Linked DNA regions of Bombyx mori. The protein of the gene in region 1 interacts with the protein of each later gene in a pairwise test. Links are inferred from orthologs where the notes say so. Each region holds a gene or a part of one and is shown on either strand. Other genes may lie near its edges. The genes, in order: ubiquitin-protein ligase E3A, tyrosine aminotransferase and DNA replication licensing factor Mcm6.

Region 1 (2,421 bases):
GACGGACCAAGTATTTATTCATTACAATATAAGTAAAGAAATAAATAAAAATAATAAATAATTAGTTAATAACAATAGTTATTTAGTATTTTTAAGTATTTTTCTATATAAAATTTTATCCCTAAAAATATCCCCAAAAAATTTCACCCCCTAAAAAAATCCCTGTATAGATTTTTCCCCCCTAAATTTGGGGGGAAAACCCCGGAGTTGGCATCACTGATTCGATGTTTCTGTTTCATTTTAAAACTTCATTTTATTGTACTTGAATTCTGTGCTAAAAGCTTTTTAAACATCATTAGCCCCACCTCTTGTCCGTTGACGGTACTAAATATACTACAAATTAATAGTCAACAGCTTTTGTTGCAAGTTTAAATTCATTGATAAACGAACACTCTTAGCACATATTAGATCTTACTTGTGGTATGTCGTATTATAGTCTCGCATCAGTAGGCTCAGTTCAAAGCCGCGAACCAGCGATTCGTATCTTTTGAAGGGTGAAACAGCTGTTATATTTACTTATTTAATTTAGAACACGATAGGTCTCAAAGTAAGCGACGGTGTTCACATTGTCACGATGTCTATGGACTCCGGTAGCCACTTAGCGCTCGTAGTTCGTTATACTCTGGGTGCTAGGAGACTGCTTCCGAAAACGAAGACAGACGATAGTACTATTGACACCTTTGGTAATGGGACGAAAATAAAATAGATCATGATTTAAAAAAATCATATTTTTTTGCAATTGCAATGTTTGAAGTGAAACTTTAGAAGAATCGTTGTGATTTCAAACTCAATGAAACGAAAAAATAAGTCCATAGAGACACAAACACATAAATGTATAGGATTCAGCCGGCGAGAGAATGAGATAGAACACATTAGACGTTCTCGGTCTCCTCTTTGTGCGATTCTTCGTAACATCCCCATTATCGTCTACTAAACATTGTCCATATGTATGCACCTGTGTAGTGGGATAGTCACAGTGTGACTTGCACACACTTTTTTATTGTGAACGCCGCCTCTACTTCTTTTATGGCGCCTGCAAATTTTATACGTACAAAGTTGTAAATTTTGCGTCGCGCCGGTGTGCGTGTTAAAGAAACGCCGCGCTCGAGCGTTCGTTGATCCGAGCATCAGCTGTTTTTAATTTTGTGTTTCACTGCTGGTTTTCTTTTCAAATAAAGTAATGTATTTTTTATGAAACTATCGTTTCATTTAGCTGTATTAACATAATGGAGGGTAAATAATGCTGATAAAACGTTTTAAAAATATGTTTTTTTTAAAAATCAGGTTCGACTTTTTTTCTGTCTCATCATCTATGTTAGGTGTCATTAGTACTATCGTTACCTCGATCGATACCTCGTTTTCGGAAGCGGTCTCTTAACACCCAGTGCATATAGCAATACAATAAAAATACCGTATTATATTTTGAAGGTTTTCGATTTCCACGAGCTGGAAAAGTCGACAGAATACGATGGCGGCTACGCGTCCGACTCTAAAATCGTACAGGACTTTTGGGGCATCGTGCACAGCTTGCCGCTGGAGGACAAGCGGAAGCTGCTTCAGTTCACGACCGGGTCGGACCGGGTGCCCGTGGGCGGGCTGTGCAACTTGAACTTTGTGATCGCGAGGAACGGCCCGGACTGCGACCGGCTTCCCACCGCGCACACTTGCTTCAATGTCCTACTGCTACCCGAGTACGACACTAGAGACAAACTACAGGACAGACTCTTGAAAGCCATCAACTACTCGAAGGGATTCGGTTTGCATTGAAGCTATGCTATACGACGACGACGACGCAACGCAACGCGGAACTAACTCAACAAAATTAGCATAATATTATAGTCGAGGAGTCGCCACGATGATGTTTCTGTATCATTGATGATTAAAGTTTGTTTTATTTAAGCGTAAAGTTTTTTTTTAATTACTCTATTTATTATGTCTGGCTGGGCAGCGTTCGGGAAGCTTCGTCAGGTCTTTTCGTCGCCCAAACCACAATGTCTGAAGACAAAGGTCTACAATCAGTGCGTCCTACCCGTGCTTACCTACGGAGCCGAAACGTGGACACTGACTGTGCGACTAGTCCACCAACTAAAAGTTACTCAGCGAGCCCATAGCTCGCGAGCTATGCTTGGTTTATCATTGCGAGACCGAATACGCAATGAGGTCATTCGGGCAAAAACCAAAGTGATCGATATAGCTTGCAGAGTTAGTAAGCTGAAGTGGCAGTGGGCTGGTCACATATGTCGCAGTACCGATAACCGTTGGGGTAGACGTGTTCTGGAGTGGAGACCGCTAACCGGTAAACGTAGTGTAGGACGCCCTCCTGCTAGACGGAGCGACGACCTACGCAAGGCAGCTGGCAGTAACTGGATGCGTAGAACCGAAGATCGGGTTCAGTGGCGAGCTTTGTACTGCCGCAGGTTA
Region 2 (4,283 bases), on another chromosome or scaffold:
TATATTTTGGTATTAGAAAATCTAAATTTTAGTGTGTATGTTTACAATAATAAAACACTAATCAGAAATGGATGAAGTAAAAGAAAAACCAAAATAAGAAACAGAAAAAGTCCATCCCAATGGCATGGGGGCAATGGATATAAACCAATCAAGGTTGTGGTCAGGGTCATCAAACTTATTTGAAATCCCTATTCCACATGATACAAGGACAAAAACTAAGTTGCTGTACAATCCCAACATCGTTTTTTTGCATTAAAAGTGTACAATTTACAAAAATATTCGAAATTGAGTTAATATGAGGAATCATTTGCTATCACCAGTATTTTTTTAATAAATACTGTCAAAACAGCGTAGTTTAGTTTTAGCCTTTTTTTTTTTAGTTTACCTATGTTTTGACTACTAACAAAATTAATACATAATTTTATCTTACTTTAAAATACAGATAATGTAACTGGTAAAAAATAAAAAATAAATGTTGCAAAGATGATCAATATGAAAAATATCACATGTTAAACCTTTACAACACTCTCCTGTAAAATTAGTAAGTTTTGAGATTATAGTTTTTATGCGAGAAGATGATATTATGGTATAAGGGCAAGAAGGTGATGAATTAAATATATGATGAAGAGTTATATATGTACAATAATATAATACTATTAATGAGACACAAATTGTCACAAATTATAGCACATCTTATAGCTATAGCTATGTTTTATGTAGTATAGTTTAGGTTACCTTAAACAGCTCTTGTGCTATGGGGTTTGCTGGAATATTTTTTAAAGTTTGATCATTTTTATAGAGTAGTTTAAGTGTATCATTCCAGAACTGCAATCTGAAAGCTGCTGTCTGAGAATCGGTGGTTTGATCTTGTATACGAGCTACTTCTACATTGAAGGCTCTGACTACAAGCGTCGGAGATCTTACAGCCTTTGTCAGGAGCAGTGTGGCCAAAAAATTTTCATAATCGTGCTGCCTATCTGTAACATAAATATACAAGTACCAGAACTTGCTTCACAATTCAAATTTTATTTTTATTTTCGTCTGTATAAATATTATTTTACCTTACTAAATTTGCACAGTAATTTAGTGAGTCCTGGTTAGACTCTGCTATTTTTGAGAGAAATCTAGTAGTAAATGCTGGCATTTTAAGTATTTTGTATGTCTTAAAATTAATTATATTACTACCCAAACCCATTTTGGTTTGAATTATTGACACCAGAAACCAAAGAGTATGTCCAGACCTTCATTGGTCCAGACACTACCATCCACCATAGACATACATAGCATATTAAGTGTAATGTGTATAATCTATGTACATACTACATCATAGCTTCCCGTCAAAGGACTTTTTGGCGGAAACGCGAGGAGTGAAGTTGTGTGATTTGTTTTATTTTGTCTATTTAGTGTTTCTTCAGGTTTAAATGTGTAATAATGGTGGTTTATTAACTGTTTAATATCTATGAAAGTGCACAAATGTGGGAAAATGAAACAAAGCTGCTGGACGTAACTTCTCGGGTTCCTCCAAAAAGTCCACTGAAAAAATCTCAGTAAATGATCACCATTTTACTGAGATTATATTTCATCCCATTTCATTTCATTTAATTTCATCCCAGTTGATTAATGTCTCAAATTAATCATCTTCATTTCATTTCACTCCATATTATCATTTTTCATAAAAATATGAATATAAATTAAAATAAGACATGACTTAAAGGTCTCAGTTACCAGGTCATAAAACCACTTAAAAAAAAAGCTTCCCGTCAAATACTAAGTGTATTATCTATGGCTTCGCGAGATAGCATAGACCATGGAGTTAATGGACTTTTTGGCGGGAACGCGAGAAGTGAAGTTGTGTGATTTGTATTATTTTGTCTATTTAGTGTTTCTTCAAGTTTAAATGCTGTAATAACGATGGTTTATGAACTGTTTAATATCTGTAAAAGTGCACAAATTTGGGAAAATGAAACGCAGCCGCTGCACGTAACTTCTTGGGATCCTCCAAAAAGTCCACTGAAAAAATCTCAGTAAATGACCACAATTTTACTAAGATTAAATTTCATCCCATATCATCTCATCTCATTCAATTTAATTTCATTCCAGTTGATTAATGTCTCAAATGAATCATCTTCATTTCATTTCATTTCATTTCACTCCTTAATATAATTTTTCACAAAATAAGAATTTTAATAATAATAAGACATGACTTAAAGATCTTAGTTACCAGGACATAAAATCCCTTAAAAAAACCATGGGGTTAATAAGTAAAACTAAAAAAAAAATACACTAACTTAGCAACACTGCTTTTTGTTTGTAATATGTGCGTTTTTCCTTACATCTATTGATGTTTAAAAATAAATTTTAAATTACAGACGTCGTTTGGTGGGTAGAGCCCTAAAACATCCTTGGACCCGCCGCAGTCTGTTCACAACATCTGCAGGCCGTCAAGTCCAACATACCGATTCTAAACAGTTAGAAAGCCGCCCTTATTTATACATTGAAACCTGAAAAAACACTAAAGTAACAAAACAAATCAATTTAAACAACTTCACTCCTCGCGTTCCCGCCAAAAAGACTGATTAGAGGTGATCGGTTCATCGTTACTATGCTTAGCAAACGGACATTAGCTTCTTCTGAGGTAAGAAGAGGAAGAAAGAAGCTTAAATAAAAACTGGAAGAAGGCTGAATCGGCCCGAATAAATCCGCACTTGTTTGCCAGAGATCTCTTTCTTGCCACATGCCACAGAATATCAAAATGGCTGAACACGATGGTGTTACGTCTCAAAAAAACTATTTTCTTACCTAATCTCTTACTACTCTTATCCCATTCTCACGGATCGTTTGGAACCTTTGGGTCTGCGGAGGGACTTCGGTTCCCTCTGTATTTTGTACCGTATGTTCTATGGGGAGTGCTCTGAGGAATTGTTCGAGATGATACCGGCATCTCGTTTTTACCATCGCACCGCCCGCCACCGGAGTAGAGTTCATCCATACTAGCTGGAGCCACTGCGGTCATCCACCGTGCGTTTCCAGAGATCTTTTTTGCCACGTACCATCCGGCTATGGAATGAGCTCCCCTCCACGGTGTTTCCGGAGCGCTATGACATGTCCTTCTTCAAACGAGGCTTGTGGAGAGTATTAAGCGGTAGGCAGCGGCTTGGCTCTGCCCCTGGCATTGCTGAAGTCCATGGGCGACGGTAACTACTCACCATCAGGTGGGCTGTATGCTCGTCTGCCTACAAGGGCAATAAAAAAAAAACCTATGCCTAATAAGAAAATTATTAAATCACTCGATGAAGCTGCGGGCAGAAAGCTAATACATGTTAAAGCAAGAATGTTGTGAATTAAGAATGTTGTACACGTCGAACTCATATGGTGTGATATACCTAAAGAACGTACATAAATTTATTTATATCTGCCGTGAAGCAGTAATGCGTTTCGGTTTGGATGGCGGGGCAGCCGTTGTACTGTTAAAAGCGAGACCTTAGAACTCATGTCTCAAGTTGGGTGGCGGCATTTACGTTGTAGATGTCTATGGTCTTCTGTAACCACTTAGCATGAGGTGGGCCGTGCGCTCATATACCAATCTAAGTAATAAATAAATAAATAACTATCTACTTAACGGTAGGCAGTGGCTTGGTTCTGCCCCAGGCATTGCTGAAGTCCATGGGCGACGATAATCACTCACCAACAGATGGGCCGTATGATCGTCTGCCTACAAGGACAATTTTTTTTTTATCGGGAATGTTTTGAAAAATTATAGGCATTGTCGTACTAACATAGAATACGCTAATTAATTTATCAGTGATTATTTTTTTAGAGACAGTAGAATTATTAGACAGACGTTTCAAGCGGTATTCGAAGTTTGTCTTTAGAAAATTTTAGCTTGAATATCTAATCCAAGATTTTAAAGTACAACACCTTTATCTGAAATTTAGGAGGCAGTGATTTTTTTGGAACCTCCAATGTAAATTACATATTCCACATGGAAAATTCCACATATAAATTGAAGGCCACCGCTGCACCGCTTCAACCCGTAAATTATGCTCGGTATTCCTTACAAGTCGTATTATTGTATTGTTTAAATGTATATAATATACTTGTTTGAGGTAAATTTGTATTATTTCTTAATGTAAAGATTCGATAACCTAATTTTAATGAACTAAGTGTAAATTAAAAACAAAATGAAAATTCAATATGAGAATCGGTGTCAAAACCATTGATAACAAAACGACACAAACTGTAACAAATTAAGCTAATTTTAATTCGTTTAAAATTCACCATAT
Region 3 (4,381 bases), on another chromosome or scaffold:
GTTGTAACTATACTGAGACCTTAAAACTTATATCTGAAGGTGGATAGTGCATTTACGTTGTAGATGTCTACGGGCTCCAGTATCCACTTAACACCAGGTGGGCTGTGAGCTCGTCCACCCATCTAAGCAATAAAAAAAAATGTTTTCTTGTCTTTTCTTCATATCTATTTTTGGGAATTACAAACAAACACAAAGACAAAAAAGGTAGTCATAGTGGTCATTGGCATGGAAAAAACTACTTTGTTAAATGTACTGCAAATTATTGAAATATCTACTTTGATATTAGTTCCTTTTTTCCATTCTAGGCAGCAGTGCGGGCATCTTGCAGCTGTTGAGAAATGTTTATCTGGTAGTCCATAACCTTTAGTTACTTCTTTACATTTCATTCTGAAATAGATAGTTTTTTTTTTTTAATATCCAGATAACTCGATACAATATATAAATGTGACAAACATTTTTGTTACATACAAATAATAACTTTTCAACACATTTTGAAGATTGTTGGATATATTTGATGGTAAGGAAGACGCTATTTTATATAGAAAGGCTATTTTTGTTTCTGTCATTTTCAATGATTAGTGCACTTAAAAACAACTTTATTGGGAAGTTGTCTTACTAATTACTACATATTATGAAACTTCATAACTTTCTCAAACGCTAATCAGTGGAGCGATTTTTTTTAATGGATTTTATGACCTGGTAAAAAAGACCTTTAAGTCATGTCTTATTTTAATTTATATTCTTATTTCTATGAAAAATGATAAAATGGAGTGAAATGAAATGAAGATGATTAATTTGAGACATTAATCAACTGGGATGAAATTAAATGAAATGAGATGATATGGAATGAAATATAATCGCAGTAAAATGGTGGTCATTTACTGAGATTTCTCAGTGGACTTTTTGGAGGGTATTGTCCATGGTTATAACCACTCTCACTCGTTTCCGCCAAACTTTTATAATCTAGATGTTTCAAATATTCATAAAGGTAGCTTTCCAATTACAGCGCATAATGCGACTCAATAGCACACAATGCTGAATTATGCTGAATCTTAATTGGAACGTAAAATAGTTTTCAAATGCATCAGCAGAGTGCGATAAGTTCAATGTTGAAAAAAAATATTCATGGAGTTGGCAACCTCATTAATATATAAATAATGTAGTAAACAATAATAATTGGTTGAAAACTATTTACGGTTATTTTAAGTAATTTGGATTTTTATTATTTCATTAACATTTTTTTACATTTTGAGTATTTTTTTTAAATGAGTTCTATGAAAATTATATACTTTTTAAGTGAATCATCCATACTTATATTTTTTTTAGCACAGTTTCAATTAACTTTGATTATTTCCAAGAAACTACGACGAAACGAAAGCCTTACAAAATTTTTCAACAATAAATAATATTACTAACGATAATATAAACAAAATTTCGATCAATTCCAACTTAAAGAAAAAACACTTGTCAATTTTCTGTCACTGAGTCGGTATCGATTGCGAGTATCACGCGAGAGCAGTACTTTTGAGAGTGCTCGATTGTGCGAAGCGTTGCTGTAGTAGGAACATTCGACGTTGAGCATTATGCCGCATAATGCGCTCTAGTGCTGTAATTGGAAAACAGGGAAAATAAACAACTTTAGGTTCGTTACATAATTCTAACGGATTCGTTAAATAATTCTTTCCGCTTTCAGTTTTCACTGACAGATCAAGTGCTACATTATAATTTTTAACATGCATTTCATATTTTATTGAAGCATGTACATATCTTACTTATTAGTTTTTACGACTGAATAAGAGTTTTGGGGTTTTACCTGTCCAACTGGATCGGCAAGTTTTGATAAAATCTACAGAACAGTAGGGTGAGCACGAACAGCTCTCGAAAAACTAATCGTATAGTTATTGAAAAAAATGCCAAGGAGTCAAACAGTGCCCCAAGCGTATCTATAAGTGTTGGAGTTTGAATATATAAGATTATCTCCATGTATGTAAGCGATGGTAGGCAACACTTGACACATGTAAGGTCACAGATTTCAAATATTGGAATGCTTATTTAAATGTTTAAAACAAATAATTTGTCTTCTCGTCAGTGAAGACAATGACTTCTCATCTAGACACGGACAGAGTAACATCTTAGAGTTGTATCAAAATAAAATATTATAATGGTGTAATAGTGTACAAAGTATTTGCAATATAATTAAATTAACCATGAAGCAGAGTGTTTTTAAATAGCCTCTCTCCTCCAGAACCTAGTCCCCTTAAATTTAACCGTCCAACAATAAAAACTAATTGTGCTAGTCCGAAAGATTTTAGACACTTCATATGGTCATGTTATTTAATAATGAAACTTATGCACATAATCGAGAGTACCGTACCAGCTTTATTTTGACGTAAGGAAAATTCTTCCGATATTTAAAATTGCATTTGGAACATTCTTGTCTTGAACTACTTACTTAATTATGTAAGCATTTCTTCATATTTAGTGTATTATTATTGTTCCACCGCAGTCACTGTTTTTCTTTTCAATGTAAATACTTTATAATATCTGACAAAGAGAAGAAAATAATGTAGTGTAGTACTGCTTTGTCTTTGCCTATTCTTTATGAATAGATAAATTTTTATTGTTTTTGAAGGGACAATTTTACAACGTTTTCCCGCCCTCGGGACCCTCTTGTCAGTCTGACGTTCAATCTGTCATAGTTCAAATTGGTACGCTTGTACACATGTTTGAATTTTTATCGGTTCTCGTTTTCAAAATATTTTCTTTTTAAAGTTTTATTAAACAAAATCAACTAATAATATTGAAGTAATTGAGCTCTGTCCATAGAAACGATTAGCCCATCTAAGTGAGAATCATTACAGAACACGTGTAACCGGTTACTTGTTTATTGTCATTGTTTTAAAGTTGCAGATTGCAGAATCGTTTAACAAACTTTGCAAATTAACTCACCCTTAAGCTCTGGTGTTACATATTATTCAGGTCGTGAACCATGGATGTAGCTGACACATATGCCACACAGAGTCAAGTAAAAGATGAAGTGGGAATTCGATGCCAAAAGCTTTTTCAAGACTTCTTAGAAGAGTATGTTTGATTTTAAAAATCAAGTTTGTTATAATACTAAGTTATTTGTTTTTTTATTTACCATATTATGAATAAATGCTTTTCTTCCATATTTTCATTAGTTGGCAAACAGACTTCTTGATATAAATTTAAAACCGCTTCAGCAAATAATTAACAAAAAAAAATATTTACAGATTTAAGGAAGATAACGAAATCAAATATGAGAAACATGCTAAGGAACTATTGAAACCAGAGCTCAGTACCCTTGAAGTTAGTTTTGATGATGTTGAAAAGTACAACCAGAATCTTGCTACCACAATAATTGAAGAGTATTATAGGATATATCCATTTCTAAACAGAGCCATTTTGAATTACATACTCAGTCTTGCGGAAACTGGAATGAAAAAAGATCTACAAGATAAAGAATGCTATGTTTCATTTGTTGATGTACCAACAAGACACAAAGTAAGGGAGTTAACCACAGCAAAGATTGGTACTCTCATAAGGATCTCTGGGCAGATTGTAAGGACACATCCAGTTCACCCTGAATTAGTTCAGGGCACATTTGTGTGCTTAGATTGTCAAACAGTTATTAAAAATGTAGAGCAACAGTTTAAGGTAAGATTTTTTAATTAATTGATTTTATTAATTCTTTAGAGAAATACAGTAACTTAATAAAATTAAATGGAATTAATTAAAATAAATAATAAATTAATTAACAAATATTATTTTATCCTCAGTACACAATTCCAACAATCTGCCGTAATCCTGTATGTGCTAATAGAAGGCGTTTTATGCTGGACGCAGACAAGAGCGTTTTTGTTGACTTCCAAAAGATACGAATCCAGGAAACCCAAGCTGAATTGCCCCGTGGTTGCATACCCAGATCTCTTGAAGTGATATTGAGGGCTGAAGCTGTTGAATCTGTGCAGGTGAATTTAAAAGAAACATGATATGGACAAGACCTGAACTTCCCAATTTCTCGATATTTGTAAAGCCAAAAATATCAAACTAAGATTAATCAATCTAAATTGAAACTAAAAGTATAATTTGTTTTTTAGGCTGGTGACCGTTATGATTTTACAGGAACACTGATTGTAGTGCCTGATGTGGGAGCCTTGTCAATGCCAGGCTCCAGGGCTGAGATTACAACCAGGACTAAATTAGCAAATGAAGGTCAAATGGAAGGCATAAAGGGACTCAAGGCTCTTGGAGTGCGAGAACTGCATTATAAGTGAGGATCTGTTTGCTTCTTTTTATGTGAGGGATTTTATTATAATAAGCCAAATATAGGTAGGCTGCTGGTAGCAGAGCAAATATT

The links.
Region 2: the proteins of ubiquitin-protein ligase E3A (region 1) and tyrosine aminotransferase interact in binary tests that used the Homo sapiens proteins (3 or more experiments, as listed by UniProt). The link is inferred for Bombyx mori from reciprocal best matches to the Homo sapiens genes UBE3A and TAT.
Region 3: the proteins of ubiquitin-protein ligase E3A (region 1) and DNA replication licensing factor Mcm6 interact in binary tests that used the Homo sapiens proteins (3 or more experiments, as listed by UniProt). The link is inferred for Bombyx mori from reciprocal best matches to the Homo sapiens genes UBE3A and MCM6.

What each region holds. Positions count from the first base shown.
Region 1 is NC_085119.1:5,211,827-5,214,247, reverse strand, and holds the end of ubiquitin-protein ligase E3A, read left to right. Parts: intron 1-1,428; coding exon 1,429-1,767; 3' UTR 1,768-1,906; downstream 1,907-2,421. UniProt on the Homo sapiens protein: E3 ubiquitin-protein ligase which accepts ubiquitin from an E2 ubiquitin-conjugating enzyme in the form of a thioester and transfers it to its substrates.
Region 2 is NC_085110.1:12,109,109-12,113,391, forward strand, and holds the start of tyrosine aminotransferase, read left to right. Parts: upstream 1-1,342; 5' UTR 1,343-2,635; intron 2,636-4,283. Other genes in the region: NADH dehydrogenase (ubiquinone) complex I, assembly factor 6, read right to left, coding at 736-973, 1,062-1,195. UniProt on the Homo sapiens protein: Transaminase involved in tyrosine breakdown. Converts tyrosine to p-hydroxyphenylpyruvate. Can catalyze the reverse reaction, using glutamic acid, with 2-oxoglutarate as cosubstrate (in vitro).
Region 3 is NC_085132.1:5,464,646-5,469,026, reverse strand, and holds the start of DNA replication licensing factor Mcm6, read left to right. Parts: upstream 1-1,500; 5' UTR 1,501-1,642; intron 1,643-2,641; exon of another isoform or gene 2,642-2,875; intron 2,876-2,979; 5' UTR 2,980-2,989; coding exon 2,990-3,081; intron 3,082-3,254; coding exon 3,255-3,678; intron 3,679-3,800; coding exon 3,801-3,992; intron 3,993-4,121; coding exon 4,122-4,294; intron 4,295-4,381. Other genes in the region: uncharacterized protein LOC101741249, read right to left, coding at 276-387, 469-566. UniProt on the Homo sapiens protein: Acts as a component of the MCM2-7 complex (MCM complex) which is the replicative helicase essential for 'once per cell cycle' DNA replication initiation and elongation in eukaryotic cells.